Linked DNA regions of Saccharomyces cerevisiae S288C. Each later gene encodes a partner of the first gene's protein in a complex. Each region holds a gene or a part of one and is shown on either strand. Other genes may lie near its edges. A codon is read from its position in the direction of its gene.

Region 1 (3,459 bases):
AACCATCATCACCTCCGCCTATTTCAAGAAAAGAGCGGCCTCTGAGTATAGGAAATAATGTAACAACACTCAGCTATACTGCAAAAAATGGAAGCCAGAACAATGCACCACAAAACGATAATGTTGGAGAAGAAAAACCTTTTCGCATACCTAGTAGTACCAAGGATAGGCCCGGTGCAAATTCCACTCCTTCTTCAAGACATCCTAGGGTTTTGTCAAGCAATAACGCTGGTGAAACTCCGAAAAAAATGAATGGAAGATTACCAAATAGTGCACCTTCTACCAATACATATACCAACGGTTCGGTCCCAGCTTTTAATCATAGGCCTTCTACTAATGTAGGGAACAATAAGCATAATATTTTAACTTCGAAGAAGCAGGGATCATCCGTATTTTCTCCTTCATCTTCTACGACCAAGCCTCAAATCAAAACAACAGGATATCGACAGCCAACACCTTCACCTCCACTTCCGCAAATGGAATTCCCAACTACGAGAGAAAAGTATTCTGCTCCTTCTAACATGGTGATCAGTAGCAGCAGATACGAGGTCTTACATACCCTTAATAACAGCCAAACAAACTTTGATAGGGAAATTGCTAGTAGGGGTGCCTCAGCAGCATTTAGAAGTTTACAGAAGAGTAAGAAAAAAAAATAACACGCTTTAATAATATTTGTGGTTCCTCTACTTCGAAACAAAAAAATATGCACGAGTTGTTGACGATCCAGAAAAACCAACATATAAATCATATCCAAACCCTTGTAGCATTAATATCCGTATCACTTATGTATTCAGAATGCATGTATTTTATATATGCCCAGTATATCTTCGATTGAAGCTCTTCGGCATTAGTGCATTGTATTTTTCAAGCAATGAATGCCAAAACTAATAAAACTATCAAGACGACAATAAGAAGTCCTATACAACAATCGTCGTATTTTTCTTTATTTTTTTCGTAGACCCATTCCAATTGCCTACGACCTCTAGCCAGCTTATTTACAACACCGTCCATACCCTCGTCCATATTATCCAACAATTGTCCCTGGTTCTCTAATTCATCCCCCATTGTTTGAGCTTGAATATGCAAATTTTGCATTGTCTTGTGAATACCATCTAAATGAACATCTTGTTCTCTTAACATTTGTTCCTGAAACGGATTGGACATACCACCATCATTGTTCTCAGCCATGCTGGTGTTAAGTGTTGAATTTTCCACCGTCTCTTCTAGAGGAATAGTTGTTTGAGTAGATTCCTGTATTCTTCGATCAAAACGCAACTTCAGAGCATCAAGTTGCTGTTTTATATTTTTAACTTGTGCTTCCCTACCACTCACGTCTTCGTTTTCATCCCTTTTCATTACGATTATGCTTCTGTCCAAATCAACTATTGTTTCCTCAACATCCTTTAAAATATCTTGTATTTCCTCCTCTTGATCGTCATCACCAGCAGTATTGTGACGAGTTATGTAATTGTTTATGCGGTTCAATTGCTCCTTGGTGTCCTTAACAACTTGTTGAAACGGATCTTCACTGTTGTTCATTTGTTAAAGAAAGGATCTTAGCAATACAATTTTACAGTTAAACGTCTTTCACGTTTACTTCAGTTACAGGGAAAACGTAGAAATTAAAATGTTCACAAACCTTGTCAGAAAGACAGCAAATATAATTTTAGTATATGTTCTGTGTTGTGTGCTTCGAATTGTCCTATCTTCTGATATTTACTACTTTATGTCGTAGGTTCGAATATCTCGTGGATAATTAAAAACTCGATAAAAAAAGAAAAACAGATGGTGATCCAAACAAAAAAAAGCCTTCATAAGCAGGTTCTCTTAAGAGAATTAGGGAAACCTATACAATGAATGAAAGTGAGAATAGTCCCCAACATAATGAAGTTACGGTTCCTATGGTAGAGGATACTTCAAGTAATGCTGATATTCCAATGGAGCAAATTCAACGCGAAGACAATAAGAACTACGATAAACATGACAATGAATGCTTCGATATGAATGGCAATCACAATAATAACTCTGATAACTTACAATTTGACAGTGTACCATCTTCTGCAACGAAAGATTTGAAAAACATCAAAAGTGTCACCAACCAAAATGTAAAAATAGAAGAATCGAGTAGCACAAATTCAGTCATTGAAGAGTCATCTGAACCTAAAATATCAAAATTAGAAAATGTGAACCTTGCCGCGACGGTAGGTGGTTCACAAACTAGAAAATACCTGAATACAAATGTGACACCGCATTTATTAGCGGGCATGAGGCTCATAGCCGTACAACAACCAGAAGATCCGTTACGTGTTTTAGGTGAATATCTAATCGAGCAGAGCAATATACTGAAGAGTGGAGAAAAAGAGAGTAATGCTAGTAAATGATAACCATAATTATATAAATATACATGTGTATTTATTTTTCCTTACTATTAAACCTTTGGATATAGACAAGTGGTGGAGGAAAATTGGATACAAAAATTGTGGAGAAAAAGGGCCACTGGAATACCATGGGCGAACATAAAAAAAAATGGGGGACTATCCCAGTTCAGAACTTCTCTTGTTCCATGTTGATATCAACTTTATTCATCATTTGTAACCCATATCCGCAAATTAAACTAATAACGCCAACTTTCCAACCGTTCCAAAGTTGGCCTCTATTTGTATTAGAATTGTTTCTTATCACATCCCATATGCCATTGTATTTTTTTGGCTTTACTATCAATTCAGTGGAATCTACTTTAAATGATAACCGCTGATCGTTCAACAAGTAGTTTAGTTGACAACGACGTAACAGGTTTTCCAATGGTAACTTGATAAATAGTTCAAGTGATTTAGAAAAAAACTTCATAGTATTGTACATGACGGTTTGAGAGTATTTTTCGATATGGAATTGGTTGTAGATGACTAAATCAAACAATTTGTTGAAAAAGCTATTATTGATAGATTGAAGAATAGTTAGGGACCACATATCTAATGGAATGGAAACTCCGTTTTTACGCCATGACCAGCATCTGATTAACTGCCTCAAGCTTCTAGTATTAGTAACCATATTCTTTCCATCTGTCTTGACATTCTTCTTTTTTTTGAATGATGTAACTATCAATCTAGTTCTTATCAGGTCCACAGGTAATAATATAATACTGGTAAATACTCCCGCGCCTAAGGCTAAAATGAAGGACTTAGAAATATCAGGAGAGTTGATGACCTCCATAAAATATGGGTCAGGGACACCCAAAAAAGACGAGAGTAATCCTGTGAACCAAGTATCTATGCTTAGGGAAAGAAAGTTGTAAATAAAAGTCGTGTTGTTGGCCTTCCATAGACCACGAATACCCTCCTGATCAAATAGGGCGTTGATTACGTCAATTGTATGTAGGGACTGTGGTGCAATAGTCAAGGATATATCAGTAGGTTCATGATGTGAATGATCAGTTTCTTCGGCCATAATAGGCGCAGTAGA
Region 2 (3,032 bases), on another chromosome or scaffold:
TGTCTGCACCAGTGGGACGGCATCAGGTGCTGCATTTATATCTTGCTCCATGGGAAACACTGGAGCTACAGTATCATTTTCTGTATTGAATTGGAGCATGTAGTCATAGAGGAACAAGCAATATTCTATGGGATTCCAGCGTATTTGTGCGGAATGGAACTTTCTGTTGGTTGTCTTTCTTGTTGCTTGTCTCTTATTTCAACGAGTTGTTCCCATTTTTGATAAGATGGGGATAGCGAAATAAGACAAAAGAGTCAATATTTGGCAATTCGCTCAAAGAGGTAAAAAGACGGCGCTATTATATATCTGCGTATATATACTACAAACAGCCGGGAATACATTTGGCAAAGTCCTCGTACGACAATAGGGCAATTGCTAGTAGTGTTAAGCAGTTTTTCAGGTGAACTTGCAAACCGAAAAAGAGGAAAAATTGGTTCACATAGTAAAATGCACTCTCTCGAAGGAAGTGTTCGGTGAAAGCCACGATATGCCGCTGGAAATTACAGTTCCTTGATTAAAGATTCTACTGTTTGCTTCAACTTGTTAATTTGGTCTTCATTGGCGTTTGTAATTTCTTTGAGAAGGTCGTTGACTTTTATTAGGTCATAATAGTTTTCGTAAATGGTATTCTTGATAGAATTGTTAGTCTCGGTTTCTTTGCCCAAGAGCTTATTGTGAATTTGTACTAGCCTCTTAAAGGGCAGGTTCTTTATCTCTTCTTCTGCATCTTCTGACCCCTCCTTGAGATCCTCTTCAGTTGCACTCAATTCGTCATCTTTCACTGGTTTCTCAGTGTTTGCTTCGGTATCTATATTCACATCTGTGACTTGCTCCTCCCCAGAATGAGCCTCGCTGGCTTTTTCCCCTATACGTGCTTCTTGACGACCTTTATTCGGTTCATTTTCCAAGTTGTAGAATTCTCTTAAGAGCAATCTTCTATCTTTGTTCAGACTGCTCACCCTCAGGGACTTTTTGTGACTAATTTGTTCTGCCATCTGTACTTAATATCCTCGTCAGATTCCGTCTCACCGCAAATACGCCTCTTCTATGCAGAGCCTCACCTATACGTACAACTTACTGCCTCTTGTTTCCACGCAGCGAAAATTCGATGATTTCTCGTATAAAGCATATCGAAGTTGAATCATCACAAAAAGGCCCATTGTGTAATGGACCCTTGCCACAACAACACTCTCGTTGCACAGGTAGAACATACTTTTAAGGCCTGGGTAGATTCATTTTTTTGACATAGGAAAAGATTAGCAGAGGAGTATGAGACTTTCGTTTGGTAAACAGCGTTATCATGGCGGTACAACAGTAACTTTGACTGAACAAGGAGCTTCAGATTCCCTTCGCGCTGCGCAAGCTATCTTCCAGAACCATTCCAATGAGGTCAGCAGTCCATGCCCTCCAGTAACGGTGAGCAGGAATCCTCAAACTAGGTTATCAGAGCCATCGCTACAAAAGTCAGGGCGGAAACAAGAACAAAAGAAGGCACGCATACGAACAAAACAGGTACCTAAGATTAAAACAACGGCGCCTAATGATGTTGAGTTGTCTAAGAAACACAGGTCAAGCCCTGCAGGTAAAGATAATGTTAGTAGTACTGCTCAAATGGCAGCTGCTTTAGCGCATTCACAATCGAAACTTAGTTCTGACAATAACTCCTCCCATTCTTCGGCATTGGATACACTAAAAGTTCTAGAAACTCCGAACTTGAATGGCTTGCTGGGCATTCATTCACGCTCAAGCTCAAGAAACGGCTCCAATGAATCACTGACGCCTGGCCAAAGAACTCCCGACAATAGATCTCAAGAGAATTTACTTACTTCCTTTAGTAGCGGTAGAAGGCTATCCTCGAGCTCTATGGAGCCTGCAACTAATAAAGACAGCAACAAAGCTCTGCCCAAACGCAGGCCGTCTCCTCCCTTGCAATCATCACTTGTCGGCAGTGGTCAGCTTCATGAAAATGAAAACCTATCATCAATTAGCATCGATTCCAGACATAGTCTCAATCCGGACACTTCAGACGTTATTTCTAATAGGTCACAAACAAGTCTATCTCAAACAATTAATCAACTCTCGTTATGTGAATCAGAGCCATCTATTGCAAGCTCAAACACTACTACTACAACGAGCAACCAGGGAAGTGGTTTGCCCAACTTGGTTCCGAACTATTCATCCGATATGAGGAAGAAGAAGCTTGTTAACAAGTTCAAAAGGAAAGTATTTGGTAGTAAGCCCAAGCACTTATCTTCACAATATGAAATGGATGCAAGCAGCGAAGAACTGGGACAACATGAACAACAACCGAGTATGAGATTTAAAACAACATTACGTAAAACCTCTGTAAGTACAAACGCAGAAAATGATCATGCATCCTCTCTACATGAGGGAAATCTGAGGTATAAGTACAATCCGTCCAACGACACGTATGATGTGTATGACGATACTGATTCTGATTCTGAATCTGATCAGAACCAGGACGCCTTGACCAAGCCACGCAAAAGAGATAGAATTAAGAGAAAGATCAGGAATTCTGCCAATAAAACTGCACATCATAGGCCTATCCACCGCACGAGAGATCGGAAATTCAATGAGGATAAACCCTGGAAATCACATACAGATATAACTTTCGTAACAGACAACGAAAGGAAGCGTTACGAAAGCATGTGGGTAAGCAACAGACACCGTCATTTGAACCTGTTGAGCTGGTGGCCCTCTATAACGGGTGATTCCGGAGCAATTAATACTTTACCCGAAGATGGATTGATATTGGGTATCATAGTCCGTGATATCTGGAAGCGGTCTAACTTGCCCAATAGTCTATTGGCAGAAATTTACACGAAGGTAGACACAAGAAAAGATGGTACTTTAGATAGGAAATCTTTTATTGTGGGTATGTGGCTGGTCGATCAGTGCCTGTATGGCAGAAAACTTCCCAATGTTGTCGAGCAATGCGTTTGGGATAGCGTAGATAGATATGCTTCCACCACGGTTGTGCCAGTGAGTACGCTAAAGGCGATGGCCAAACA

Evidence for each region. Proteins that work in one complex are often made in the same cells at the same time.
Region 2: the proteins of TLG1 (region 1) and VPS51 are in contact, whole or in part, in a crystal structure (PDB 2C5I), measured with the Saccharomyces cerevisiae proteins. Residues at the interface, in NP_010756.3 of Saccharomyces cerevisiae: Pro7 (codon at 1,521), Phe8 (codon at 1,518), Gln10 (codon at 1,512), Val11 (codon at 1,509), Asp14 (codon at 1,500), Glu17 (codon at 1,491), Gln18 (codon at 1,488), Arg21 (codon at 1,479), Ile22 (codon at 1,476), Tyr25 (codon at 1,467), His29 (codon at 1,455), Asp34 (codon at 1,440), Gln37 (codon at 1,431), Glu40 (codon at 1,422), Ile41 (codon at 1,419), Asp43 (codon at 1,413), Ile44 (codon at 1,410), Asp47 (codon at 1,401), Glu50 (codon at 1,392), Thr51 (codon at 1,389), Asp54 (codon at 1,380), Leu55 (codon at 1,377), Arg57 (codon at 1,371), Ser58 (codon at 1,368), Val61 (codon at 1,359), Arg64 (codon at 1,350), Asp65 (codon at 1,347); in NP_012945.1 of Saccharomyces cerevisiae: Lys9 (codon at 971), Leu11 (codon at 965), Arg12 (codon at 962), Val13 (codon at 959), Ser15 (codon at 953), Leu16 (codon at 950), Asp19 (codon at 941), Arg20 (codon at 938), Leu22 (codon at 932), Leu23 (codon at 929), Leu24 (codon at 926), Glu26 (codon at 920), Phe27 (codon at 917), Leu30 (codon at 908).

The regions. Positions count from the first base shown.
Region 1 is NC_001136.10:1,397,162-1,400,620, forward strand, and holds TLG1 (Tlg1p), read right to left. Parts: upstream 1,540-3,459; coding exon 865-1,539; downstream 1-864. Other genes in the region: protein kinase PKH3, read left to right, coding at 1-656; SDC1 (Sdc1p), read left to right, coding at 1,854-2,381; mitofusin complex protein UGO1, read right to left, coding at 2,545-3,459.
Region 2 is NC_001143.9:476,301-479,332, reverse strand, and holds VPS51 (Vps51p), read right to left. Parts: upstream 996-3,032; coding exon 501-995; downstream 1-500. Other genes in the region: ALY1 (Aly1p), read right to left, coding at 1-99; IRS4 (Irs4p), read left to right, coding at 1,270-3,032.